7 linked regions of the Oryza sativa Japonica Group genome follow. The protein of the gene in region 4 binds, or shares a complex with, the protein of the main gene of each other region. Links are inferred from orthologs where the notes say so. Each region holds a gene or a part of one and is shown on either strand. Other genes may lie near its edges.

Region 1 (4,150 bases), on a different chromosome or scaffold from region 4:
ACAATATTTATATAGATAGGCAACACAGCAAGTTGAGCTGTTAAAATGCACAGAAGTAAGACAATAATGAGTATCATATCATACTTTTCATTCGTTCTCCAGAATGCCCCAGCATTGTCGATAACCATCTTGAGCAACTCAAGAGACAACACCTTCCCGCGCAGCAGGACCTGATCTTCGGGATTATCCGGCGTCGAGAACTTCATGGACAGCTTGCACAGGTTCTTGAACAGTGTCAACCCATCCTCCCTGATCTTGCTCATGACAACATCCTCCTTCCCATCCGTCTCGGCCGGCTCAACCGGGGACCCCGGCTCAGGGACATCGCTTCCCTCCATCGTCTCGTTTATGAAGCTCTGCGCCGCATGGACAATGCTGGAGTCATTCAGGTTGCGGTCAGACATGTCCATCATGTCGGTGATCGACACCGTGCGCACGCGCACATCCATGGAGTCCACCTCCACGCGCGCGAACACGATCACCAGCACCTGCGCCAGCGCCAGCTTAGCGCAGAGCTGGTTGGCGCCGCTGCTGCTACTGAGGTATATGTTGTAGCAGGTCTTGAGCATCTGGCCGAGCCCTTCCCCGCGGATGGCGACGGAGGGGCACCGCGCGGCGGCCACGAGGACGCGGAGGGTGGAGAGCTCCATGGCGTCGTCGGCGAGCGCGCCGCAGGAGAGCACGGCGGCGAGCAGCTTGGAGGACGGGGAGTCGTCGTCGCCGCCGCCACCGCCGAGATCACCGACGAGGAGGCGGTGGTAGAGCAACTTGGCGACGCAGTCGAGCGCCGGGTCGGCGACCTTGGGGGACGCCGACTCGAGCGCGAGGAGGAGCGCGTGGATGCACGCGTCCGCGGCGGCCGCCGGCAACCCGAGCAGCAGCGACGGCGGCGACGGCGCCGACGCCGACGCGTACGCCGACGAGGAGAGCAGGTCGAGCGCCGCCTTGGCGGCCGCCACGAGGCCCGAGTGCTTCCGCCACGCCGCGTTCTTGATGATCCGGTCCAGCGCAGGGCCCAGCACCCGCCCCGACGGCGACGCGCCGCCGATTGCCCCCGCCGGCGAGGCCATAGTTAGCCGTCCACGCAGACTCTCACGCGCTCTACGCGGTGGTCGTCGCCGTCGCCGTCGCGGCCATTGGATCTGAGACCTCGAGACGAGGAGGAGGTGGAAGAAAATGGGAATTCGAGAGGAAGACGAGACGAGCGCGTGGGGGAGGAAGAGGAAGAGGAGAAGTCAGAGGAAGGGTATGACTGAAATTTCAGATTCTTCCAGGGGCCTAGATGCAAAAACGCCGCGACCCTTCGCGCGGGGGTGAGGCATTTTATCACTTTACCCCCCTCGGTTTCTCGGAATTCTTTCTTCTCGTCTCCATCGCTGCAGGAGGAGGAGGCGGCGGAGGACGGCGAGCGGTCAGTGGCGGAGAGGGGAGTGTTCGGGGACGCGGGGTTTGCGAGGTGGGGGGAGCTCTTGCGCCTCGGATCGGCTCACTTCCCGACGCCTCAGCCCCCGCCGCGCCGCGGATTATTGCTGTTAGGTTAAAGGTGGGGGTGAATTTTTGTTGCTGCGAGGTAGCTGTTCGACGAAATTCCGCAGCGTGGTTTCAGGGTTTGTCTCTCTTGCAGGGATTGTGGTAGCGAGAAGCGGTGGGGTTGATGGAGTGCGTGGTGCAGGGGATCATCGAGACCCAGGTTATTGTTCTTCTTTCTCACTTCGCCAGTAGACTTGTATGAGTGGTGACTGTGTGAGCGGTTGTTGAAGTGAACGGTAGTTTCTTCCGAGAATGAGTGATCTGTAGCTATGCAACGATGCATTTTTGTTCATATGAAACTGATTTGTCTGTTTATGCTGTAAAACATGACCAATTTGAACTTTTACCCGGAAAATCATACATGGCCCGTAACATAAGCCGGAGTGATGGTAGATGTGATGTTCTTCATGGATTCTTGATTTTTGTATGATGGTAGGCCTTTCTGGGAAATCGGTACTAGTCAAGTTTGCTGATCTGACATTTGCGCTCCTTACTTGTATGTTGTATCTAGAATTCTGAATTTTATTTAATTTTTGGCATAAGGTTATTTGGCCTTTCGCTTTGTAGTAACCTTATCCAAAGGAGTTGGAATGTAGAATTTCGACGTTTACTAAATGAACTTTCTATCACTTGATTTAAGATAGCATTTTTGTTGTTGGAGGTGTCAATTGCCTGAAAACAGACCTCTGTAAATGTAATTGTGATAAAACCTTTTGAAAGGTAACACTTAAGCTATCCCAGGTAGCAAATCTATCAACTGCATAGCCCCAATGTCAAATTACATCTCAATAGTCCTACTTAGGAACAAAGTTATTTTTTCACTCCATATAGCATGAAGTAGTATTGGAACTTTATGTCCATAGAGAATTTCTTTTTTCTTGAACGAAACACATCAGGGAATAGAGAATAATAATTCATGCCAGCATTAAGACTTTGTCGTCGATCCATTGTCTCTATATGACCTTTTGTTAGTCTCTTATAGCTTCCTCTTGTCAGCATATCAACACTTCCCTTCAGGATAATAAAAAAAAAGTATACAGTTGATCATGCTGACCACTATATGGTCAACCATGTTTCTCCACTCTGAGGGCACTACTTCTGCCACTTGCAGACTTTTTTTGATTCTCTTTTCAATATGTTGATATGGTTCTATTTTATATACAATTGGAGGAATCATATCACTTATATGGTTTGTAATTTTACAATAAAGGGATTAATTTATATACACATGTCAATGTCTTGTGCTTAGAACACCATTTAACCTTTTTTAGTTTTCATTGCTTTGACATCAGTGTAACTTTTGGTTGATCTTCTTGTTATGCAGCATGTTGATGCTCTTGAGGTTCTTCTCCAGGGCCTCTCTGGTGTCCCAAAAGAACGTGTCAGAGTGCATGAGCTCTGTCTTAAAAGTGGGCCAAATCTAGGTCAGTTTGCAACTTTTTCATTATTCTGATCATATGCCATTGTTACTCATATACATCTTCCAATCATACAGGAGTTGTCCCATCAGAGGTTCGTTTATTGTGTGACTTAGCTCAGTCCACGCCATCCTGGTAACTTTTCTTTCAGCTGCTAAAATTTACATTTTTGTGATATTTGATGATATTCTGAATCCAGTAGTATTCATGTAGGACCATAAGACATGTTGGAGGTGCCATGAGAGGTGCTGGTGCAGAGCAAATCTCAGTCCTTGTGCGGTCAATTGTAGAGAGCAAAGCCAGCAACAATGTATTGCGTTACTTCTACGGTATAGGGTACAAGTTAGATCATGAAGTTCTGAAGGGAGGATTTGCATTTCGTTTCCACCGAGGTGCCCAGATAACTGTGACCGTTACCTCTGTTAGCAAGATGACAAAACTCCATGCTACCAACGAAGCTGTGCCAATCACTCCTGCAATACAGCTAGTGGAAATCACGGCCCCTGCTGCTGCTGACAATTACAACGATGTCGTTTCAGCCGTCACTTCGTTCTGTGAATATCTAGCACCGTAAGTAACTAAGTGTTCCTTAGCTATCTCAAGATTATTACTAGACTGGCATAAACGAATTTTCTCACTTTTGACTGCAAAACACACTGCAGGCTTCTGCATCTCTCTAAACCAGGCAATTCGACTGGAATCGTCCCGACTGCAGGCGCTGCTGCCGCCTCACTCATGTCAAGTGGTGGTGGTGGTGGTGGTAAAACGTTGTGATCGGTCATATGTGTTGGCTGCAATGCCATGATGATCTCCATTGACCATCCCACTTAAAACATTGTTGCCATCTTTAGTTCTGTAACTTTTAGTCAGTAGCACCATGGTTTTTCTTGTAATGACATGCTAAATGCTGCCTACCTTGCTTTGGAGACTGGTAAATGAACACTGATCATTGCTTGCTTTTACTGAAGAGTGGAAACTGAATGCTGGGAAAGCTTGACGATATTGGTGGTAGACTGATAGCTGGAGTTTGTCATGATCCTGACAATATATTTGATGGTAGCTTTGTTTACTTTAATTTAGGTCACATACGTGGTAAGGATCTCATGGTTTGGGACGTTCAATTGCCCAGTAGTTTTTCTCTAGTTAATTAGTGTGCATCAAACTATTTTCTCTAGTTATTATGTAAGTCTAGCAGTCAAGTT
Region 2 (4,040 bases), on a different chromosome or scaffold from region 4:
GGGATGATCCGAAGGCTTGAAGCCTTCAACATAAGTACATACATCTAAAGAAGCACATGAATGAAGGGCGTTGGAATATTTCCGATGCATTCTGTGTAAAATCAAAATAAAATATGGATGCAACGAAAACAAGAACTGATCTAATACTTCAATTCCTACAAAAGCACTCCACACCTTGGAAGAATGTAATTATCATAGTAGAAGGATTAGAGAAAGCAAAGTGCAAAAGAAGAAACAAAAGAGGGAAAAAGGAGAAATAAGGGAAAAAGGGGAAAGAGGGAAACAACAGTACAAATTTAAAGGGGAAAGAGGGAAACAACAGTACAAATTTATCGGCCAAGAAAATTATCGTATATCGCAGGAAGAAATAACATGGTATAAATATTTAATCTGCATTCTGCAATGCACGGTTGATGAAATCTCACACATCAACAGAATATAAATAAGACAAATAAGCACATCATATTGTGGCAGCAAACATACAACACAACAATGATGGTAATGAAATTACCTAGTTCTGTCAACAGCTGATGCACCAGCCTGACCAGCCAGCTGACGCTTCCAAGCATATGCCACAACTGCACCATCTGGACAAACAAGTGGCATGTGCAAGCCCCATGAATTGCCTCTGGCTTTAAGGGCTCCATTTAGAACTCCAGACTCTTCCAATTGCCTTCCTAACAGCAATGGATACAAGATATTTATTAGGCTACAGTTTAAAAACTAGATCTTTACTTTCAGTTGGCTAGGCCAACACTTATGAAGAAATAGTGGAACTTGAAACTTGAAGTTCAATAAAAATAATTGGAACTTACCAGGAGAACTGTGTAAGCAATGATTGATGGTTCATCACAAAGTAAAAACATCATGAATAGCAACAAGCACAACTAACCCAAACACTATAACAAGAATACTGTGAAAGAACAATAAGAAAGCACCAGCAAAATCGAGTGAATCCATCCTGTTCACATACCTAACTTTATTGAAGATGGCTCCTAATATCCTTTGACTTAAAAAAATCTCAGTCACATGGCTTAAGCTTATCTAGTACTCCTAACTTCAGGATTTTCACAAACTAACTATTCTGTCTAAAATCATAACTATATCACCTGCAAATTTCATCTTCCGTTTATCTAGCAACTTCAGGTTGCAGAAAGACTCAAAAACCATCGTTTAACAAGCAGTTCATATTGCTTGGACATTTTATTCATCAGACAGAATAGTACCATGTTGCCATGAAACATGGATTTTCCAAATGCCTGCAGACTTCTTCAACAAACGACTGGTCAAGTGGTCACATGTAAACAATTGTACCCAACACATAACTGCTCTGCTGAGACAATATTATAGAGTGAGCACCTACCCTACATCCTTACCATCCACGAGTGATACTAAAACTAGTTCGAGCCCTGAGTGGCACTAAGGTGGTGTTTGGATCCAGGGACTAAATTTTAGTCCCTGTCACATCGCATGTTTGGATACTAATTAGAAGTATTTAACGTAGACTAATAATAAAATTAATTGCATAAATGAGAGCTAATTCGCGAGACAATTTTTTTAAACCTAATTAATCCATAATTAGCACATGTGTACTGTAGCATCACATAGGCTAATCATGGATTAATTAGGCTCAATAGATTTGTCTCGCGAATTAATTCAAGGTTATGAAATGGATTTTTTCATTAATCTACGTTTAATACTTCTAATTAGTGTTAAACATCTGATGTGACCGGGACTAAAATTTTAGTCCCTGATCCAAACAGCCCCAAAACAAGTTCAAGCTGAAGCTGTTCAATTAAGGTTAAATATTGCTCTATTACAAGCCAAGGAACACGAGTTCCAGAAATGCATCCCAATCTGATAGACCCAGGCACCCAGCCAATATTCTAGAATGCTAAAGTTCATATACCAAAGTTGAGCAGTTAAGCCTGTCCGTGCATCTCTCGTAGCAAGGTTTCATAGGTAGAAGGGTTTCACAAGATACAAGCAATTGGATAACACCAAAGAAGAGTGTGGCATCAGTTTATGGTGATTAACCATTATTACAGAACAATTTAGTGGAAAAAAAATGTGCTGCCATGCCTAAACTGGGAAGGAGATTATTACTTTAAAAAAAGTCCAATCATACAATCCAAAGAAGTTAAATCAATATCCCAGCCACCAATTTCCAGAAATTATCTAGACAAGGGTTTTCCTTTTTCTTCTTGAGACTGCAACCGTGGTATCATGACGGGAATATTTCTTTTTCATTTTGAGACTGCAACCGTGGTATCATGACGGGAATGTTCCTTTTTCATTTTGAGACTGCAACCGTGGAATCATGACGGGAATGGTTCTTCTCGGAGGGAATTAGTTGTATTTTGCGACGTAACAGTCAAAGGTTAAGGAATCGATGAAAAACTTCTGAATCGGAGAGTGTGGGGGCACGGGGCGGAGATGGGTTTACCTCCCGAGCGCGCGGAGGTCGTCGAAGTGGCGGTGCATGGCGGCCTCCTCCTGGGCGACGGCGAGCGCGGTCTTCTCAACGTGCTGCGGGGCGCTGTGCGGGGGCGCGTCGCCGGCGACGAAGAGCGCCTCGAGCAGACGGTCCGCGCCCAGCCGGATGTCCGCGATGAGCCGCCCCGCCCGCCCCAGCCGCTCCATCGCCTGCGCCACCTGCTTCGGCGGCGCGTCACCCCTCGCCCCCTCGTGCTGGTGCCCCGTCGCCCCCGCCGCCGCCGCCGCCGCCGCCGCCACCGGCGCGGCCACCACCGCCGACGCCTGCGCTTGCTGCATCTTCCTCTTCTCCCCTTCTCGCTTCCGACTCGAAACGCCTCACCTAAATAAGCCCATATCCAAACAGGCCCAGAACCAATACAAGCCCATATCTATTCAGGCCCAGATCCAAACAAGCTCGTATCCAAATTCGGCCCACGCCATCGGCTTCCAACGTTTCGAACGTTTGCGCTTCGCTTCCCACGCGGCGGCGGCGCCACCACCACCACCCTCCGCCATGCCGCTCGCCGGCGGCGAGCCCCGACCACCACCGCCGCTCCCGTCGCTGGTCAAGCTCGGAAGGGCCGTCACGCCGCGCCGCGTGGACATCCTACTGGCGGCGCTCCTCCGCCGGCGGAGGCACCGCCTCGTCGGCGCGCTCGCCTCGCAGGCGGTCGCCAACTCCGTGCGCCCCACCGCGCGCACCCACCTCCTGGTCGCCTCGGCGCTTCTAGATTCTTCCCGTCCGCGCGACGCGGCAGCGCGCCTCGCGCTCGCCGGCCCGGCAACCTCCTCCGCGCGCCGCCTCTGGGACGCGCTGCTCCGCCGGGCCTGCGCGGTGCGCGGCGATGCTCGCCGCGCGCTGGAGGTGCTCTCCGCCGGCGTAGAGGAGTGCGGGCTCGTGTTTTCTCCGTCCACGTATCGTGTGGCCCTGACGATGCTGTGTGCCCGCGGTGACATGGAGACCGCGCTCAAGGTGTTCGACGTAATGGCTGCAGCGGGGTGTCAGGTGGATGATCGTGTTTGCAGCGTGATCATTTCAGGCTTCTCCAAGGTCGGGAAGGCTGGGGATGGGCTGGAATTCTATAGGAGGGTGAGGAGAGAGTTCAATGGATTTGAGCCAGGCTTGATCACATTAACCGCTTTTGTCGATGTGCTTGGCCGTGTAGGGAGAACTACTGAGGCAGCACAATTGGTAAGGGAGATGGAAGGGAAGGGGTTGGTTGGTGATGCTGTTTTATATGGCAGCTTGGTTCATGGATACATGAGTAGCGGGTTATTGATGAAAGGGCTCCGTGAGCATCGGGTGATGTTAGATAAGGGCATTGCAGCTGATGTAGTTAGTTATACTACTGTTATTGATGGACTTTGCAGAGAACGTAGTGTGGAAAAAGTGATGGGATTCTTGGATGAGATGAACCGAAGGGATGCTAAGCCGAATTTGATCACTTATACATCATTGATTGGTGGTTTCTGCAAGAGAAACAGGTTGGATGATGCTTTTTCTATAGTGAGGAAACTGGAACAGACAGGAGTGGTGGTGGATGAATATGTTTACTCAATTT
Region 3 (3,976 bases), on a different chromosome or scaffold from region 4:
GGAACTCATGGAATTGCTTCTTCAACGGCACTGGCCTCATCACCATCACTGATCCCAGTAAGTATTAGCCTCTTCAAAGCTTGCTTCACTTGCTGTTTCTTTCACCTGAATCCTGCAAATTTACATGGCTTTCTTGCCAACCTTTGCAGGTTCTGGCAATTGCAAGTATGCCTGAGTTGAGAGTTTGCTCCAAGTTAGCCAGCCAATCTCTGGAGCTTGACAAATAAAGTTTTCAAGGGATGTTTTGTTTGTCCAAGTGCCCCTAGAAAATATGGTGTTCTATATTTCAGTGTCAGAGTTGCTAGAATTCAAGTCATGTTTAGCCTCAATGTTTGGGTAATCTTTAGAGAGGAATGCTTTATACCGAGATAATATTGTTCCATATCTTCAGTGCAGTTCTTCAAAGTTCAAAGAGTATGAATCCTAGGCATGTCTTAATTGTATTTGCATAGCACTATATGGTCCTGTGCTGCTGTGAACGAACAGTGGCCCAACTATAATAAATAAACATGAAGTTATGCTCAAATTATTTCAGATTAAACGAACCAGCTTGAAACTATTCAAGTTACTGTAAATTACAGTGCTAGGTTTAATTCCTAATCCAACAAGTACTACTGGAATATTGTTGAGCATCAGCTAACTTGATACTAAAACTGAGTCTACATGTAGCATCGGCAGCTGGCATTCACATCTCCACCTTCATCTGTTCATGACTCCAAAATGGGTTCCGTTACCTGATATGACAGGAAAGCAAACATAAGTCATTTTAGTGATACTACGATCATACGTAACAACACTGTGTTGGAATTTTCTGATCAACAGAAAGACAAGCCCCCAGAGGGTTTTATGAAAGCATCTTGCGAGGGATTAATATAACAGGTCAACATCCACCATAATTATGTTTTGTTCAGGCCATCATCGTACATAAACTACATAAACCAATAATTGATCATGGACATGATGCCAACAGCCATCTAGTAAATGGTGCATGTAGAATATTGTACTGCAAAAAGCACCATAAGAACAAAATTGTTATCAGTATCCTGACTTCCTGATAATACAGTGTACCAAGTTTGGGAAGTCAAGCGGATTATACAGCTGGTCACAAAATAATCCCATATCATAAGCGCAAGCATAATTTTTTGCAAGCACAAAAAAAGCTAAAGATTTATTGAGATAGTGAAGGGAGAAATCCAAACTTACATTGATAACTATTACTCTGGCTTCTTCAAGTTTATACAATGATCTGTAGCTTCATTAAAAAGAGCCTCAACTTGCTTCAGCTCCAGCTCTACAAAAGCAACAAGACATGTAAAACACTGGACTTGTAAATAATCAGTTGTAACATGGTGAGGAATTATATAATGAAGGCAAAATATTCCAAGAATGTAATAGCAAAGCATACCAGCAGCTTCCAGTTGTTTCTGAAGCTCTGTGCCTACAACTTCATTCTCTGCCTGCGCATTTCAAATTCATAAGCATTTTAGCTGCAGGACACAAGTATCATGAATACTGATACTATGGCAGGACATGCTGCCGAGCGTCTGCTAAACCTTCATTCAGAAGAAAGCAAGCGACTAAGGAGGACAACCTTAGTATGAAACTCCATCCACAAGGCGTAGGAAAAAAAAAACAGAAGGAAACATGCACAAAGATACCATCTTCACAAGACACTAGCTTAATGTCACCCTTTCACAATGTACTGCTCAGAGGGCAAAACTGAGACATACCTGTAGCTCTTTAATTCTTTTCAGCTGATCCTCTTCAGATGATAGTGGCAACGCAGAAACAAGAGCATCAAACTGCATAAAAAAACCAAAAAAAAAAGAGAACGGTATTGGAAACAGTAGCTAGTAGCACATTTCAAGTGTACTCTCAGATGCAAAGTTTGCCCTCTGGAGACAGAGGTTGGTGTGCTGCATACCATCATCCCACCTACATTTTGCGAGGAACAGTACAAAGATTGGTGTGATCCACATCATCGTCAACCCTTCTTTGCGAGGAATAATATGAGTGAAGCTCCTATTTTGCAGATCCATTCAAAATTATCTCGAGAGGGCTAAAAAACAGCACAATGCAACTAAAGTACTCTACCACACTACATGAACAATCTCACTATAGAAGATATGATTCTGTAAGTAGAAGAATTTTCAAAGAACCAGGCACCCTGACCGTGGTTGCAATCACACAAAAATGCTAAGGCTGGTCACACCAAAAATTACAGTCCAAGCCCTAAAGCGTCAGACCCCAAGAACCAGCAGGCACTCAGGCATTTCATCGAGCAGGTGGCAAGCAGAGAAGATAAGCGACGGAAGACGCGTACCTTCTTGGCGGCGAGGACGAGCGCGTGGCTCATGGCCTTGGGATGCTCGGCGAGGTCGAGCGCGGGCGGCTGGGCCTGCGCCGGCGGAGCCTGTGCCTGCGCAGCCGGAGCTCCCGCCGCCGCCGCCGCCGCCGCTCCAGGCTGCGGCTGGGCGGGGTCGTCGGGGTTAGGGTTTGCTGCTGCGGCGGCGGCGGGGTTGAGCGGGTCCGGGTAGTTGTTGGAGAGGCGGACCGGCGGCGCGTCCCGCTGCAGCGTCCCGAAGGTGTTCACCGCCACCATCGCCATCTCGTTCAGCTGCTCCTGCAGCTGCGAGATGATGTCCATCTCCGGCGATCTCGTCCCCCTCCTCGCCGCCGGCGACCTCCTCCTCCTCCTCTTCTCCCTCTCCTTCTCTCTCCTCCTCCTCTCTATCCACCAAGGCCCAATTACATCTAGGCCCATCAAAGAAAACTGGTGGGCCCAGCACATCGACAGTGCGCAAGCCACTCTCTGACTGGCACGTGGGCCCATGGCTAGCTTGATTACGAAGGAACCAAGGGACCCCACGCGGAAAATTGCATCACATCACCACCACGCGTCCAGATCTGATCCACACACAAATGGATCGGACGGCCCAGGATTAAACCAAACTATTACTAACAATTAACTCACCCGATTAGTTAACACTAATTGAATCGGACTTGGACTCTAATCTAGACTAATATAAAAAGCACGAGTTGTTTAGTGTAATTAACACCATGATTGCAATTAGCGCCGGATTAATCCTGCGGTTACAATTAGCACCGGATTAACACCGCGTCTTGCTCCGAAAAAAGAAACTGCACGCCAAAAAGAACGAAAAAAAGAACGCACGCCAGCCACGCCGCCCGCCTCACCTGCCGCCCGCGTGACTTCCCACCTCGCCTCACCCGACCATGCCAGGCCTCGCCGCCGCCGACAATGTGACTTCCCACCTCGCCTCACCCGACCATGCCGGGCCTCGCCGCCGCCGCCGACCATGAGCCTCACCCGCCGCCCGCGTGACTTCCCACCTTGCCTCACCCGACCATGCCGGGCCTCGCCGCCGCCGACCATGAGCGAACTCCACGAGCAGCGCCAGCGACCGACCCACGCTGCCCGGATCGGAGGCGAAGGACAACAGCCCGGGGCCGCCTTCATCGACGCCGTGCGCGCCCAGTCGATCCACGGGAGCGCGGCCGCGGCCGCAGAGGCGGCGGGGGAGCGGTAGGTGATGACGTGGACGCGGCTCCTCGTGCTACCGGCGAGCGGGACAGGAGGAGGAGGAGGAGCGCGAGGGCGGACGCGGCGGCCGCGGCCACGGAGGGAGCCTATCATGGAGGAAATGGTCTGAGGAGGAGGAGGAGCTAGGGTTGTCGCAGCCTCTTCAATGGTGATCTCCTGCAGGAGGCGAACGGGAGCAAGTATCAGCAGCAGAAGCTGGGTGGTGTGCCCTCGTCGCAGCCGCATCATCTGAATGTGAGTGACTCCACAAGAACGAGAACCCTGAATTGAATCTGACATTTACCATTGTTCTTGCATCATTCATCCAGTGGTAACGTTTTACATGTCTTGGATTGTTGGATGACATTGATTTCAACACTGGAAAATTGTTGTTTTTTGCTTCGGGACAGCAGCAAGTTACCCCAGCATTGA
Region 4 (3,500 bases):
CTCAGCACAACCTAGATGGTTTTCTACTAGCAAAGGGCTTTTAGGAGCAGGGCCAAGCGGCATAATGGCTGCTGATGCTATTATTACTGAAACTGGAGCATTACATGTTGCTGGTGTTCCCCTTGTTAATCCATCTACTGTAGTGGTTTGGGAGGTGATGCCAGGCCTTGGCAATGGTATTCAGGCAACTGCAAAGATAAATGCAACAAGCTCTCTTCCTCCATCACTAAATCCCCCACTCTGGGCTGGTTTTGCTCCACTTGCATCTTACCTCTTCTCTTTGCAAGACTACCTTGTTTCCGAGGGCGCACAGACAAAAAAACAGGCACAGGTAGATAATGAGACCACTGAGGTAGCATCGATCCATTGTTGTCCAGTTTCCAACTTTTCAGCTTACGTCAGTCCTGAAGCTGCTGCCCAGTCAGCCACTACCACAACATGGGGATCTGGGGTTACCTCAGTTGCTTTTGATCCCACTCGAGGGGGATCAGTTATTACAGTTGTAATAGTTGAAGGTGCGTATATGACACCTGGGAAATGAATTAGTATGATGCAATTGTCACATCTCACTATGACTATTTGTTTCTGATGAATGGCATGAACATCAATGCCATTCATAATCACCACACTAATCCTATGATCATCCAACAGCTTTAATAGTAGGAGAGTTAATCTAACTATGTATGTCCAGAGCATGCTTATACATGTTTTAGCTCCCTTTAGTTGCTTTTGTTGTTTCTTTGATTTGCTCTGGTAGCTTGTGCCATGGTAATAAAAGTTCTTGTCTGTAAATGCTATATGCATATTCTTTTAAGGACTTTTGGGGTCTCTGAAATTTATTAAGTGAATCGGTTGATCTTAGGCTCTTGGCTAATGCTTATTTATTTTTTCTGACAATTGTTAAACCACATACTTCCAGGGCAGTACATGTCTCCTTATGATCCTGATGAAGGACCTTCCATCACTGGATGGAGAGTCCAGTGCTGGGAATCTTCAGTCCAACCTGTTGTTCTTCATCCAATATTTGGAAGCCCTGCAAACTTTGGTGGACAGCCACCTACACAGACTGTTTGGTCCACAAGAGTTAACAAAAGCATCCCACCATCTGAGGACCTTAAGAACCCTCAATCATATGTTCCAATGCCAACAACTTCAGATGAGCGGAGTTCTTCTGAGTGCAGTGTTGACAGGGCGAACCGACTTAGCTTTGACCCTTATGATCTTCCAAATGATGTCAGACAATTGGCCCAAATAGTTTATTCTGCTCATGGTGGTGAGGTTGCAGTTGCATTCCTGCGTGGAGGTGTGCACATTTTTTCAGGTCCAAACTTTGAACAGGTTGATAGCTATCATGTCAATGTTGGCTCAGCAATTGCTCCACCAGCCTTCTCCTCCAGTGGTTGTTGCTTGGCATCAGTATGGCATGACACACTCAAAGATCGAACCATACTAAAGATAATACGTGTGCTTCCTCCTGCAATTCTTAATGCTCAGACAAAGGTTAGCTCAGCTGTTTGGGAACGAGCAATAGCAGATAGGTATCCACCCAAGTTAACAGAGGTTGATTGAAATGATTTATTTGTTGAAAATGTTTTTTTTTATAACTGCGATCTTTTTAGCAGATTTTGGTGGAGTCTATTGGCTGGTGTGGATTGGTGGGATGCTGTTGGCTGCACACAAAGTGCTGCTGAAGATGGTATTGGTAAGGATGCTTATGCAGATGCAATTTAAAATTTGTGTATAGTATTTGCATTTCAATTGTGTTCTAGCTGTCCACACAATTAGAAAAGTAGGGATTATCTGCTACACGGTAGAATTTCCACAACTGTCACTCAACCTCTTAAAGTATATACTTCCTCCGTTTCATAATGTAAGTCATTCTAGCTTTTTCCACATTCATATTGATGTTAATGAATCTAGATAGATATATATGTCTAGATTCATTAACATCAATATGAATGTGGAAAATGTTAGAATGACTTACATTGTGAAACGGAGGGAGTAATTAAGAACAGTGTAACCAAGCAAATCTCTGTTTGGTTGTTTATAATGTTAAGACTTTAGAGCTGATTGCACATTTATGCTCCCAATTTGAAAGCATTGTGCATCTGCAGTATGATGAATTGTGTTTTGCTTCATTTTTCCCATTTGGATGTCTCAATATGTTAACATTATTTCCTGGTGTGAGTTGCAATACATCTTTTTAAGCTGATACAGAACTTTTCAGTAAGTTTCATCATTTTCTACATATGGTTGGTTAACTATTTCAGCACCTGTAACATTTATATTTGTCCATGATAAACTAAATCTCTTGCTTTTCCTTCCAGTCTCACTGAACAGTGTGATAGCTTTGCTGGACGCGGACTTCCATTGTCTTCCAACTATACAACAGAGGCAACAACACTGTCCTGTAAGTGTGCTGTGCTTTTAGTACATTATGTGCAGTTTTAAGCACAGGCCTTCAATTTTTCATCATCTACTGCCTACTGCCATTACTATGTGACATGCATGTCACAATATCTTTTTGGGTTCTTAAAGATTGTACATTCACCAATCACCAGTCTTTATTCCACCAGTAGTTGAAAGGGGGATACGAATCAAAATATAATCAAGATGACTTTTTTCCTTTTCTTTCCTGGACATAGTTTTTTAGTATTCTTGTGACAAGTCACTAGCACTGCTTTGCAGTTCTGAATGAACATTTTAGCATGAAGCTTGCCAAACTTTTCTATGAACATAAATTATATCTCTGGATGTATTGGTCAGAGACCATTTACGGTAGTATGTAGTTTGCTACTTTATTCATAATGCAATATATTGTAATTTGTGAGTTGGACAAGATTTGTTTTTCTAATTGTGTGTTTACCTTTTACTTCAGATTTTGAGGACTTGAAGTTGCAAGGCTATTGCTTTCTTCTGTTACTGATTAGTCTATTTTACTTATTGCAGAATCTTGATAGGATAAAGTGTAGATTGTTGGAAGGAACAAATGCTCAAGATGTCAGAGCACTTGTGTTGGACATGCAAGCAAGATTGCTTCTGGATATGCTTGGCAAGGGAATTGAGTCTGCCCTGATAAATCCATCAACTCTGCTACCTGAACCGTGGCAAGCTTCCAGTGACATGTTATCTAGCATTGGGCCTGACAAAATGACTGTTGACCCAGCTCTACTTTTAAGCATCCAGGTATACTGTGTTTCATGTTCTTTTGATTTCCTGGTCCACAGTTTCAGTTCAATTTGCTAATCTCGTTTTCCTTTTTTTGGCTATAGACTTAATATGGGCAAATGATGTTGCAAACCTTTTTGAATGATAAGCTATTTGTAAACCACAACCTATTCATGCATGAGGATGAGGCATGATATGCCACAGATTAACCATGCCATGTATGGAATTTACAGTATTTACAGCAGTATTTTGCTGTTTTTATGTTCCAAACCGACTACGATTCAAACAGCCTCCAGATAGCTTTCATCATAAGCTTTGCTCCTAGGTGTGCA
Region 5 (3,935 bases), on a different chromosome or scaffold from region 4:
ATATCCAATAAAATGTAAGCTGTGTATCGCTAATGATTTTTCTAAAGAGATGCTGGTATTGATTAGTAGCAATACAATAACACAGCAGCTCAGTAGTTGTGAACAACAGGCCTGTGAAGTGTGAAATTGATGCTTATTTTAGTCTTTCTGAGTATGTCATAAATCAATGAAGCAAGGGAATGGAGAAGAAATGGAGTATATATGGTTATAGCGCTGCATCTGTTGATACTATTATCAAGGCAAATCTATATGCTACCTTTGAAAAAGAGAAAACAAACAAATCGCCAAATTTGTTGTATTTGGCGCATTTCTCTCAAACTTATGGTGTTACGGTGTTACCTGCAAGAATTATGATACGAATTGTTTGCGGTGCTTTTCTTTTTCATGAATAGGGGTCGGAGTTTTATTCTCCGAACCCCCTTGGTCGTCCAGGTTTTGCCAACTCGATCCGGTGGACAGTGGTTTGTCCTCATTGTTTCTTCAGGTTGTGATTGATTGCTGTGAGTTTTGAGCGGATGGTGGCATTGATTGTAAGCTAGTATGACAATCTCATCTGCAACTTGTTTCTGTGATTGGCAATGCTCTGGCACATCGATCCGCGCAAGTAGAAATTCAGTCACTCACTGTATAGTTGGTTTGCAGAGAGATTATCTGAATTTACTTGCTTGCTCAACTTCAAAAGGCCTGGAATTCAGAAGCTGGACTGAAGAATCGACATACTACTACTTATTTTGTGAAATATCCGTCGTCCCTGATACGTTGCAGATTGATCACAACTTGCGGTTGAGTTTGGAATATCATTGCCACCGGCACCAAAGAGAGTTTTGTTCCCTGAAACTTGTGATCCATGGACGAACAACAGAAGAACAGGCCTTGTTGTCTTGTAGGCATTGATAAGAAAAAGCTCTCTGATATAAGCCTTCGTTTTACCATTGCTAGGAGATAATTCCTGCTCCCGAGGGGCCTTGAGAAATGGAAAATAAAAAAAGAAACTCCGGCCCATTCGGAGTAGTGGAAGTCTGGAACTGGTCCAGGCCAGCCCAGCAACATTTACTTGTTAGGCCGGCCCAAAGTCAAAAAAGGCCCATCATACTCTCTTCCAGAGAAGAAACTCCAAAGTCCAGCACCCAAACTCGATCGAGAATTCGCTCCTCCTCACTCCGCCGCCCGACGACCTCGCCGGCGGCCGCCCCCACCCCGCCGGCCGCCGCTTCTGCTTCCCGCGGGGGGATCCCTTCCGCTCTTGAGCGGGACTCGTGAGCCCCAAGGCAGTGCCTCCTTCACTCAAAAAATTGTCTCCGATCTAATTAAGCCCTCCGCCGCCGCTGCCTCGCCTTCGCCATGGAGGAAGCCGTGCGGGTGGACCTCGACAAGCTCCCCATCAAGCGCCTCCACGCCATCGACGAGGCCGGCAACGAGCACTACCCGCCGTAAGCACCAAACCAAACCAACCTCTTCCCTTCCCCTGAAACCCTAACCCCCACCTCTCTCCGTTCACTGAGATTCGGATTCCGCAGCGACACCAGCAGCGAGGAGCAGCGCCTCTCCGCCATCCGCCGCATCGACTTCTCCTGGGTCATCGACAAGGACGCCAAGAAGCCCAAGAAGGACACCGCCCAGCAGCAGCAGCAGCAGGCATGGCCGTGGCAGGGCATGATGGAGAGCCTGCAGCAGGCGCAGCAGGAGCTCTCCGTCGTCATTGACCTCATCTCCACTGTCAGTTTTCCCACACACAATACTGCAAACCCCATTCTATTTGCATGCGATTGTTTGTATTCCTGACAGAGGAGACAATCCTACTTGATAATGCAGGTCGAAGCCAATGATGCAGTGGCAGTCGCTGGGATGCTCAAGCCCAAATCGCTGCCAACCGAAACCTTAGTTGACACCGCAGTCTCTGCAGCCACCAAGCTTCAGCGCGTTCGGGTATGTCACCCTACTGCCTATGTTTGATTACTTCAATTCACGGCTAAGGAACAAAATGGAACCTAAAACAAACTCAATTTGTTTCTGTAATCGCTTGCCACTTTCCTCTTCCGTCTTGCATCTATCATGCTTCCTGTTGTGATCTTCATTTGTGTCCTCGCAGCATTTGTCACGCTACTTCAAACAATCTGCCAAAACAATGGAGCAGCAGTTCCAAAAAGAGTCTAGGTTCTATGGCTCATTAATCAGGCATGTCTTGTTGCTTAACTTGAGTTGTTATTTCAATACCACTTCACCCAAGTTTGCACCATGAATTACTCGCGGATTGGTGGCAGATTGCAGCAGAACTGGAAAGTGAAGCGGCAACGGTTTGGTGGAAGTGGTCCAGGAAGTGAGGGCTTCATGTTTGATCTGATCGACACTTCTCAATTGGACACAGCAGCAATGCCTCGACTGTCATCATTACCATTGATTCCAATTGACCAAGACTCATCAGGCACTTTGTCCGTACAAGTCCCTCAAAAATCTTGCCGTTTCTTGAGTCTTAATTTTCGAGGGGACAGTGCCAATGGTGTGGAAAACTACGGTCATAAACTGAAAGATGGCATCTCAAGCATCACTTCCTCTGAAACAGACAATGATGATGTCAATAAATCCATCAAACATGCACATTCTATTCTTCGCAACATCCACAAGTCAATATTTGAGGAGCAGGTCAGCTAAGTGTTTGCTTGGCATGCTAAGAATTCCTGTATAGAATGCTCTTAATTAAGTTTTAACTATAGCATCATGGAAAATTATTGTATATCATGTGATGACATCTTGCACCACCACCACCCCTCCCTCCCCGGGTTTATCATTATTTATTTATGTATATCGTTCTGTGGCTTAGCTTAGTGTATGCCTTTGTAGGTATTTGATATGGTGATCCGTGAGACATTTGTCCAATCTCAAGGCATCAATGTGACTGGAATGCGTGAAGATTTTCTCCAATTAGCTATTGGTCAGGAATGTTCATTGTGCCTCTCGCTTGCTCATTCTGGAGATGGTAGTGACTCAGAAATGGTAGACCATGAAGACCATGCCAATTCAGAGGATGCCTCAAATCTTGTGTTGGTCACTATGAATGGGAAGCTGGACCCTTTAAGAAAAGACGTGACAGGGTTTCCTAATCCCAGAAGTCTGGAAATTTACTTGCTACAATTGTTTCATGAGAACATTCTTAGGAAGGTCAGGGAGAAATCCCTTAACATTGGTCGCTACCAAAGTCCTGCTCAGGTTGCAGGTGATGATTATGGCCTGCTAGGTCATTTCTGCTTGACAGTGGCTCACAGGATATTTTCTAACAAAGTACTCGTGGAGCTTGAGAGTGTGGTATAGCTCCTATAAGCTTGTTGATGCTACATATTTGCATGTAGATCATTATTTAAATTTCCTTTCTGTATTGCAGGTCAGCAGGGTTCCATATCTCCATTTGCGTTCTCTTCCTACTTGGCATTCTCGAACTTCCTCCTGGTCTCTATGCTTGAAAGTTCCTCAGCCTATCCTTGCTGCAGATCGGATTGCAAAGCCTTCTGATAACCATGAACTTAAGTACAAATCCAGGTCACAGTTCAATACTAAGGTGATCGTGAAAGATAGCCAAATTAGTCTAATGGGTGAAGGCTCCCCAAGCATTGCTGGATCATTGACTGGGAAGCCCTCCGATGGATATTTGGTAAATAGCTACAATTGTGACTTGGAGGACCTCCCAACAATGCTTCTGCAGCAGGTAAACTTCTGATGATACTATTTAAATTATTTCTTGGTAGATCATGTTTATGAAATTATTAAAGTTATTACCATTGGAATTCATTATGGTCCATTGATAATGCAATGAGCCAGACTATTTCTTGCATTGCAAATGTGTAACATAAACTCCTTGCATTTGAATGTGAAATGCACAATGGTAATGCATTTTTCTTAGTTTTTTTCCCTGAGGAAATCTTCATTTGTGCCTATTGACCTAC
Region 6 (4,000 bases), on a different chromosome or scaffold from region 4:
GTGTAATAGGACTGTACATTTATAATTGGGACTGTATGACTGGACGTTGTATTTGTGGTGGGACGGTGTGACTTGGACAGTGCTTTGGAAATGGGATTTGTGGTATGTATAGATATTCCGAGAATGCACGAGGGCAGAATAAATGGATTGCAACATGAGACTTTGTTTGGATGGATGCACCGTATTGCCAAATAGGAGTTTAGGGTTAACGCACGATAAATGAATTTATCGGTTGTTGTAGGATTATTTTGAGAGTGTTCGTACAAACGAACGACGGTAGCGAAGAAAGGATTTTAGGGACAACGCGTAGCATACAAATCCAATCGTCGCGGTAGGAATAGAATCGGAGATAATTGAATTGACGCATGATAAATAAATACGCCGATCGATTGTAGATAGTCAAGGGAGAGTGTTGGGTTTGAATTGATGGAGTGATTTTAAATAATCGCTGGGCGAGAGTTTGAGAGAGCAACAATATCGCGATAGGACAAAAAAGTTTTGGGTCATTGATTTATTTAGCATCGAAGCACATAACAAATTAGACCGCGAAGGTAAGAGAAGGTAAGGATGGAAAAAGAAAGGTATAGGAAAGGGTGTCCTTTCTAGAGATAGGGTTTAATCAAAATCTATGGCACAAATTCTAAACACACACAAATAAACAATAAATCCTAACATGCAAACTAGGCTATACCTGAGGGAAAATTAGACGTTGTGTGAGAAGGTCATATCTTTTGAAAATAGCCTATTATGAATTATATTTTGCAAATAGGGTTTTTAATAAATACTTTACTAATATATATTATTTTGTAATTAATTTTCCGAAGGCAAATTCCTTTTCAAAGGTTCGTATAAAATAGCCATAGCTATGTTTCTTTATTAAAAGGGTATTTATTTCAATATACTACCCATAGAGGGTTTTATCCAAAACGGTAACATGTATTTATGTGTAGCTTTATTTACAAAATAATTATGCTGAAGGGGTTCTAATAGAGAAGGGTTTTTATATATAGTTGGCATTTGCAAATGTTGAAATATTTCATAAATTTATTATTATATTTTATTAGTATAAAAAAGTTAGGGTTAACGCCATGCTACCGTATGCAAGGGGAAAGGAAACGCAATCGGAGTATGCTGTAAGTACAAGGGGGCAAATGCGAAATAAATACTAGGTCGGTCCAACCCCGAGGTTTCTTCTCCTCCGAGGCGAGGCGAGACTCCGATTCTAGCCTACCTCGCTCGCTCGCTCGCTCGCTCCGTCTTGTGGTCGCCGCCGCCACGAAGACCAAACCCTCGCAAATTGCAATCGAAGAAGAAGAAGAAGAAGAGGAGCCATGGATGGCGGCGGCGGCGGCAACTGGAGGCCCACCCAGGGGGCCGACCCCGCCGCCTCTGGGGGCATCGATCCCAACGCCCCGGCCCCCGCCCTCGCCGGCGGCGACTGGCGCTCCCAGCTCCAGTCGGAGGCCCGCAACAGGATCGTCAACAAGATGTAGGGCTTTCCCCCTCTCCCCCCACCCACTTCCCTTCCCTTCCCTTCCCCCAATTTTTCTTCTCTTCATCAACTATATAAAATAAAATAGAAGATCCATACATCGCATCATCCTTTTGTGCCTGTGGTCGATTCAATATGATGCAACTCTGATCCGATCTACTCCTACGTAGCTAGTTGTAATCTCATCATAATCTCCCCTTCCGTGCCCCTGTGTTTCTGTTATTTATTTATTATTATTTACTTTGTTAGTTAGGTCCAACTCCAATCCCTCCCCAACTATTTTCAGATTCTTATTAGCTTTGACATTCTTGTCTAGTTCACCTAGTCTACATATCCAATTGAACTCAATTTACATTTCATCAGACACAGTTATTACAGTATAGAGGTTTGCTTGGAAGATGCACCCCTTCTGTTCAAATGGATCTTCCCTTTGAGGGTCAGGGAACTATGATGGCAAGGCAAACTGTTTGTTGGAGAAACCGCCTACCTCTCTCGTTTATTTTACTTCGTTATGTTAGATCATGTATGTGCCACTCTCGCTCCGCGAGTCCTTTGTAGCTGTTGTCCACTTTTGGTCATAGCCACTATATTTGAGCGCGTAACTTGGGCTATGCCTACTCATTTGTCCAACATCTTGAATGGTAGACTGACACATTATGCCTTAGGTGACATTTCTCTTTTTTTTTTTGCACAAAACATCTCAAAAGCACTCTCTCTCTCTCTCTCTCTCTCTCTCGTTCTGCATGGGATATATTCGTCATTTACTTGCTTGTTGCAATCTGCGTACAGAATGGACACTCTGAAGAAGCATCTACCAGTATCAGTGCCTGAGGGGTTGAATGAACTTCAAAAGATAGCAGTGCGATTTGAAGAGAAAATCTATACTGCAGCCACCAGCCAGGTACACTTAGCCTCTTGCTAACTCATCGGGTTGATCCAATCTTTCAGTTGTGGGGCTCAAGCATGGCATTTGGGATCTTAGTAGAAGAAATCGATCGTCCAATGTTTGCAAATATGTCTGTTGATTTTGAAGTTTGTTAGAGTTTCGCCGTGAAGTATCCACATTTTCTTTTGAACCGATTGTAATATTTCGCACTTCCACCTAAATCAGATTATCCAAGGCTGCTGAAGCTTTTCCCCTTCCATTATCGGGGGAAAATCTCCTTTGCGCCTTGGATACAGGGACTAAGACTGATTCAGTCCTATGCTAGAGGTGTTGATGTCCCCACATTATTTTCATTGATAACATATCTCAATAGTAAATTAGTATTAATGAATTATAGAACTAAACAATATTTTTACCATGAGACTGGTTTCTCTCATTGGCCATGTTAAAAGTACAGGAGTTGTACCTTGAGTTCTGTAAGCCCATCATTCCATCTGTTCATGCTTGTATAAATCACCTGTAAAATATTCCCTTTATCCCAGATGAAACATCAAACAATGGTTTACTCCAGTCCTTCCTTTTGTGTTAGCGAGTATGTCATCATATATCCCACTTCATTTTGGTAAACATTTTTGTAGGAGCTTCTTTGGCTGGGTATAGGGATTCATAATCTCCAAATTCCAATTGTGTTCTCCTGTTCATACTTCATCAGGCTTATTCATGCCAAAGTAGTTTGCTGTATAGATAAGAATTTGTATAATTTAATTGATTGTATAAAAAAACGAAGCATATGTTTCAATTGTGCTAACCACCAGGACTTAGGGTGGCAAGTTATTTATTACAAAGCCAAATCTTACCATTGTATTCTTTTGTATCACCAGTCTGATTACTTGCGGAAGATTTCTCTAAAAATGCTCTCTATGGAGACAAAGACTCAACAGAATCCTGGAAACGCCCAAGTGATTCAAAACCAAAATCCCCCTGGCTCAGGTATCATATGAAGTATATTCAATATCCGATTCTGAAATACTGGAGTAATAGTAAGATATTCGCTGGTACCATATTTTGTTCACCGTAAAAGTCCTTGTATATATTTTTCATGATGTAACTATATTGCATGTGTGTTTACAAGCCCCATTTCTGAGAGGAAACCATCCAATGGAAGCTCTGCCACACTGGGTACAACAGTGCTCTCTCGTTTTAGCTTGTATCGGATAATGCTCAAGCAAGTAAATTAAGGCGAGATGCCTGTCAGTCGAAACCTCCAAACTTGTTGATTACTCGAACCTAATTAAGTAATTGCTAATCTTGATAGCAAACACACCATTTGGATGCTGGCCACGAATCCTTGCATGGTCATATTCAAAGCTTTTGGGCACCAACATCAAAACAGACGACCCCTTCAATCTGCTTGTTCTAGTAGAGGCTAGATCAGCCATGGCTTCCAAAGTAGAAAAGCAAAGCAAGGCTCACACCATCACGTCTGCTGCCAGCAGCCCAAAGACCAAAGATACACATAGCTTTCTAGCACTCATTCTCTCTCTTTTTAATCAAAGATTAGTATCATAGTCTAGCCCATTGGCAATACACAATCACTTCATCGATATAACCTCTCGCACTGG
Region 7 (3,982 bases), on a different chromosome or scaffold from region 4:
CGCGGAGGGAGCTGAGAGCGAAAGTGTTGCCTACGTGGCATGCCACGTTGGCGGTCAAACACAGCCAAAGGACGTTTGGACCAAGGTGATACATTAAGGCTGTGTTTAGTTCAGCGCAAAGTTTGGATTTTGGTTGAAATTGGAGATGATGTGACTGAAAAGTTGTGTGTGTATAACAAGTTGATGTGATGGAAAAGGACTGAAGTTTGGATCTAAACTTTGGATCTAAACACAGCCTAAACCAAGTTCACGGACCTAAACGTGTAATTTTCAAGTTCATGAACCTAAGTAACAGCACAACACAAGTTTAGAGACCGGCCATATATTTTACTTAAAAAAAGTAACAAATAGTACCATGATCTTAGCTCCTACTGTTAGCATTGTCCTCAATTTTATGGAAAGCAACAAAACTTGAGATTTAAGATATAAGGAGTTAAATGATATGATTTCAGTGTTCACAAGCAAGAATACTCTACTATAATTTATTGTTGTTTGTAGTACATACAACGCTATGTCTGGGTTGGATTAAAACCTTATAAGGGGTAGTATGAAATTGGCCTATGCAATAGTAGAAGGAGATAACATGGGACCAAAATATTGATGTTTGGGGTTTGCTCAAAACATGAGTTTATGTTGGAGCTAATTGACAAAAAATAGAACATGTCATAAAATGAACTCTAATCATGTAATGTTTGTCATAAATTTAGTACTTCCCATTACAACTTATACGACTTCACTACTTATAATAAAATTATATTAACTATATGTAACTACATTAAAAAACCATGCTATCATAGCATCAGAAGTGTTTCTTCCAAGAAAATTCATTTTTCCCATCCCCAGTTACATGAATATTGGAGCGAATCTAACGGTTAAAAAATCAAAAAATTTCCTCGTGAAATATATAAATTAATCTACTTCATTCGTCTCAATATAAAGCAACATAACATGAAATGGAACGTATCCTATTACTATGAAGTAATTCCGGATACTAAACAAGGCTTGTTGTCTATTTCGCTCGTATCCCATGGTTTACAGGACAACACAAATTGCTCGGTTTTCTTTGGTAAGTTTTTATTGAAAAAAAATATTCAAAGCGAACCTTTTCTTTTTTTCTTTAACAAACTTTGAGCCGATTTTACCGGTTTTCGTGAAAACGGGGAAAAACCACCTCCCCCTCCCGTCCTCATCTCGCGGTCTCCCTCTCTCCAACACTCAAATTCTCCGGCGCCGCCCTACTAACTCCGACGGCCCATCTCCGCCGCCTCCGCCGCCGGCGTGAAGCCATCTCCGCCTCCTGTGAAGCCCCCCAACTCCCGCGAGCTCCTCCACGCAGCAGATCCGGCGAGCTCGGATGGACGCGGCGGCGCTAGGGGCGGCCGCCGGGGCGCCGAACCCGGCGGCGCCCGTAGGAGGGGACCAGCAGCCACGGACGGAGCGGCTCAGCGCCGGGGTGCAGCAGCAGCTGAACCTGGAGGGGATGCGGGCGCGCGCCGTGGGCCTGTACAAGGCCATCTCCCGCATCCTCGAGGACTTCGACGCCATCGCCCGCGCCAACCCCAACGCCTCCCCCAAGTGGTAGTACTTGCCTCACCTCCATTCCCCCATCCCCCGATCGCCCGCTGGACTCTGTAGAGGATTCAGCTTCCCCTTTCTAGGGTTTATGCAATGCTGATTCGTGCCGTGGTGCGTGTATGGCAGGCAGGATGTGCTTGGGCAATTCTCGATGGTGAGCATGGAGCTCTTCAATATCGTGGAGGACATCAAGAAGGTGTCCAAGGTGTTTGTGGTCTACCCCCGAAACGTTAATGCCGAAAACGCTGCCAGTATGCTTGCTGTTCCACTTCTCTTCTCTTGTGTCACCAATCGATCGCTATATCAGTAATAACCACACTAGTTAGGTAGATCCACAAGCATAAAGTTTGTGGGAAGAAGAATACATGAACATAATGTAGAATGGAATTGCTCTGCGTAGTTCAAACCTTCACAAAATATTGCCTTGGGCAGCTGTTACACGCTACCCAGCTAAGCAGACCACTTTTGATTCCATGACCTTACCAAACAGAGTCTTCTCATGTTCAATGGTGCCCAAAGCCAGATGAGAAGACAGGTCACCTGTTATGAGAACCAAGAAATATACTATGTGATTTCTGTTATGAGCAACAAGGATATATGAGATATTATGGTTATGCTGCATTTGGTAATGAGTAGTTCATATATATACATGTCATTTCTTTTACGAGTTGTTTTACACATGAAGAACCAATTGTTGACCTTTCTCACTTCCTAGCAATAGTTATTCCTTTGGTTTAAATATTGAGATTAAACTTCAGGCTGATATGGCTAATTGGCTTTAGTTAAACGAATTTTATCCTAGGGTAAATTGGTAAAGATATTCCTAATGTAGCATGGGTAGCCATTTTTGTCAACACTTTCCTATTTCTGGGATAAGTGTGATAGGAATCTAAAAATGACCTAACAAGATGCTAATTGGTCACGGTTGCTGTATATGGTTGGGATGCATCGCAATTTGTGTTCCCATGTTCATCTGCTTCTAGTTTTACCACATCGTTAGTCCTGTTTGATATTCGTGAGTACTGCAGTACTGCCTGTAATGCTGTCGTCAAAGCTGTTACCTGAGATGGAAGCTGAAGAAGCTACAAAGAGGGACAACTTGTTGTCTGGAATAACGAATCTAACAGTTTCTGGACAAATTGAAAAGTTAAAGGTGATTATTTCTGTCTGGAAAATGCAAACCTATGTAGCTTATTATACCTGCGTGATCTTTTCATTATCTGTTAATTTTAATGGGACTTGCTGCTATTCCTTTCAGACTAGGATAGATATGATTGGAAGTGCATGTGAAACAGCTGAGAAAGTAATTGCTGAAAGTCGCAAGAATTATGGTCTAGGAGCCCGTCAGGGGGCAAATCTTGGTCCTACATTGGACAAGGCACAGGCTGCAAAGATACAGGAGCAGGAAGGCCTACTTAGAGCAGCGGTAAATTATGGTGAAGGTGATAAGCATTAATGGTGTATTAATATAGCTATCAGTTTAAAAATTACTTTGAATTTAATTTTAGCATAAGCTTCTCCTTTTATGTAACAATTTCATTGTTTATAGTCCATGATGATTTAGTCTGATTATCCAGGATTGCGTGTACCGGGAGACCAAAGGCAGATGTATTCATCTCTTCCTAGCCATTTAGTGGACGTACTTCCTTTTGGAGATGGGGCACATAATTTTGGTGATAATTCTGGTCTGTTTCTGTGACATACCTACAATTCTCCATGGTTCACTCCTTGTTTTGAGCATTGGAACTATAGCATCAATGAGTTGTTCATCTGCTCTAGATGTTTTTTTATATAAAAATAATCAATAACTTGCTGCTACCCTTAGTGTTGCCATTTGTGCAGTCTGTATGTCACACAATGCTTCAACAAAAGCATATAACTAGAGTCTATACTTGCAGGTGTGTACCCCAAAAATACCTCAACATTTGTACCTAATGTTGTCAACGCCCAGGGAAATCCAATGCAGGTTTGTCTAGTGCCAGTAATAACAGCTTTGACCATTACGAAATTAATAGAATATGTCCATATTATTGCTAGTTGGGCTGAAAGCAAAAAAAGTTACAAAAGGCAGATGTTTTGTTTCCCGTGTATCAATTTGCCATATAATTTGTAATGGTATATTGGTATTCCTTTCTATGATCAACTGTATTAAGTGTTGGTTAGAATGCTTTCCCTTGAACTATTATTAAGACAATTGCATTTCATAAGAGCAATCACCAACCTGACCTCATGCAGGCCTTTGATGTTTCTATCTTGATGTTCAAATTTGGGCCTTCATTCTAATAGCAGGTGTCTGGAGGACAGTTACTTGGCAGACCTGCTCCATCACCTGGAGCTACAGGAACGCCTAATTTTGAAAATGTATCTACTCCTCCAATGCCATATGCAAACTCCCCTAGGTCAGGGA

Evidence for each region.
Region 1: mediator of RNA polymerase II transcription subunit 16 (region 4) and mediator of RNA polymerase II transcription subunit 18 share a complex: the UniProt entries of both Arabidopsis thaliana proteins name them as parts of the mediator complex. The link is inferred for Oryza sativa Japonica Group from reciprocal best matches to the Arabidopsis thaliana genes SFR6 and AT2G22370.
Region 2: mediator of RNA polymerase II transcription subunit 16 (region 4) and mediator of RNA polymerase II transcription subunit 27 share a complex: the UniProt entries of both Arabidopsis thaliana proteins name them as parts of the mediator complex. The link is inferred for Oryza sativa Japonica Group from reciprocal best matches to the Arabidopsis thaliana genes SFR6 and AT3G09180.
Region 3: mediator of RNA polymerase II transcription subunit 16 (region 4) and mediator of RNA polymerase II transcription subunit 21 share a complex: the UniProt entries of both Arabidopsis thaliana proteins name them as parts of the mediator complex. The link is inferred for Oryza sativa Japonica Group from reciprocal best matches to the Arabidopsis thaliana genes SFR6 and MED21.
Region 5: mediator of RNA polymerase II transcription subunit 16 (region 4) and mediator of RNA polymerase II transcription subunit 17 share a complex: the UniProt entries of both Arabidopsis thaliana proteins name them as parts of the mediator complex. The link is inferred for Oryza sativa Japonica Group from reciprocal best matches to the Arabidopsis thaliana genes SFR6 and AT5G20170.
Region 6: mediator of RNA polymerase II transcription subunit 16 (region 4) and mediator of RNA polymerase II transcription subunit 15a share a complex: the UniProt entries of both Arabidopsis thaliana proteins name them as parts of the mediator complex. The link is inferred for Oryza sativa Japonica Group from reciprocal best matches to the Arabidopsis thaliana genes SFR6 and NRB4.
Region 7: mediator of RNA polymerase II transcription subunit 16 (region 4) and mediator of RNA polymerase II transcription subunit 8 share a complex: the UniProt entries of both Arabidopsis thaliana proteins name them as parts of the mediator complex. The link is inferred for Oryza sativa Japonica Group from reciprocal best matches to the Arabidopsis thaliana genes SFR6 and MED8.

What each region holds. Positions count from the first base shown.
Region 1 is NC_089036.1:5,238,011-5,242,160, forward strand, and holds mediator of RNA polymerase II transcription subunit 18, read left to right. Parts: upstream 1-1,350; 5' UTR 1,351-1,543; intron 1,544-1,624; 5' UTR 1,625-1,654; coding exon 1,655-1,690; intron 1,691-2,854; coding exon 2,855-2,954; intron 2,955-3,025; coding exon 3,026-3,083; intron 3,084-3,161; coding exon 3,162-3,518; intron 3,519-3,610; coding exon 3,611-3,722; 3' UTR 3,723-3,910; downstream 3,911-4,150. Other genes in the region: brefeldin A-inhibited guanine nucleotide-exchange protein 1, read right to left, coding at 85-1,070. UniProt on the Arabidopsis thaliana protein: Component of the Mediator complex, a coactivator involved in the regulated transcription of nearly all RNA polymerase II-dependent genes.
Region 2 is NC_089035.1:8,936,712-8,940,751, reverse strand, and holds the start of mediator of RNA polymerase II transcription subunit 27, read right to left. Parts: upstream 2,801-4,040; 5' UTR 2,776-2,800; coding exon 2,447-2,775; intron 674-2,446; coding exon 512-673; intron 1-511. Other genes in the region: pentatricopeptide repeat-containing protein At5g57250, mitochondrial, read left to right, coding at 2,993-4,040. UniProt on the Arabidopsis thaliana protein: Component of the Mediator complex, a coactivator involved in the regulated transcription of nearly all RNA polymerase II-dependent genes.
Region 3 is NC_089042.1:2,025,008-2,028,983, forward strand, and holds mediator of RNA polymerase II transcription subunit 21, read right to left. Parts: upstream 2,763-3,976; 5' UTR 2,648-2,762; coding exon 2,324-2,647; intron 2,023-2,323; exon of another isoform or gene 1,940-2,022; intron 1,803-1,939; coding exon 1,731-1,802; intron 1,458-1,730; coding exon 1,406-1,457; intron 1,292-1,405; coding exon 1,215-1,291; 3' UTR 1,204-1,214; intron 735-1,203; 3' UTR 501-734; downstream 1-500. Other genes in the region: major pollen allergen Ole e 10, read left to right, coding at 1-57, 150-175. UniProt on the Arabidopsis thaliana protein: Component of the Mediator complex, a coactivator involved in the regulated transcription of nearly all RNA polymerase II-dependent genes.
Region 4 is NC_089044.1:19,711,486-19,714,985, forward strand, and holds part of mediator of RNA polymerase II transcription subunit 16, read left to right. Parts: coding exon 1-515; intron 516-919; coding exon 920-1,538; intron 1,539-1,622; coding exon 1,623-1,702; intron 1,703-2,327; coding exon 2,328-2,410; intron 2,411-2,949; coding exon 2,950-3,186; intron 3,187-3,500. UniProt on the Arabidopsis thaliana protein: Component of the Mediator complex, a coactivator involved in the regulated transcription of nearly all RNA polymerase II-dependent genes.
Region 5 is NC_089046.1:28,096,091-28,100,025, forward strand, and holds the start of mediator of RNA polymerase II transcription subunit 17, read left to right. Parts: upstream 1-1,135; 5' UTR 1,136-1,341; coding exon 1,342-1,430; intron 1,431-1,517; coding exon 1,518-1,716; intron 1,717-1,812; coding exon 1,813-1,926; intron 1,927-2,089; coding exon 2,090-2,175; intron 2,176-2,261; coding exon 2,262-2,640; intron 2,641-2,838; coding exon 2,839-3,300; intron 3,301-3,376; coding exon 3,377-3,697; intron 3,698-3,935. UniProt on the Arabidopsis thaliana protein: Component of the Mediator complex, a coactivator involved in the regulated transcription of nearly all RNA polymerase II-dependent genes.
Region 6 is NC_089042.1:28,450,880-28,454,879, reverse strand, and holds the start of mediator of RNA polymerase II transcription subunit 15a, read left to right. Parts: upstream 1-1,200; 5' UTR 1,201-1,331; coding exon 1,332-1,489; intron 1,490-2,281; coding exon 2,282-2,393; intron 2,394-3,259; coding exon 3,260-3,368; intron 3,369-4,000. UniProt on the Arabidopsis thaliana protein: Component of the Mediator complex, a coactivator involved in the regulated transcription of nearly all RNA polymerase II-dependent genes.
Region 7 is NC_089037.1:18,123,892-18,127,873, forward strand, and holds the start of mediator of RNA polymerase II transcription subunit 8, read left to right. Parts: upstream 1-1,182; 5' UTR 1,183-1,354; coding exon 1,355-1,578; intron 1,579-1,701; coding exon 1,702-1,826; intron 1,827-2,603; coding exon 2,604-2,728; intron 2,729-2,833; coding exon 2,834-3,017; intron 3,018-3,152; coding exon 3,153-3,260; intron 3,261-3,473; coding exon 3,474-3,541; intron 3,542-3,861; coding exon 3,862-3,982. UniProt on the Arabidopsis thaliana protein: Component of the Mediator complex, a coactivator involved in the regulated transcription of nearly all RNA polymerase II-dependent genes.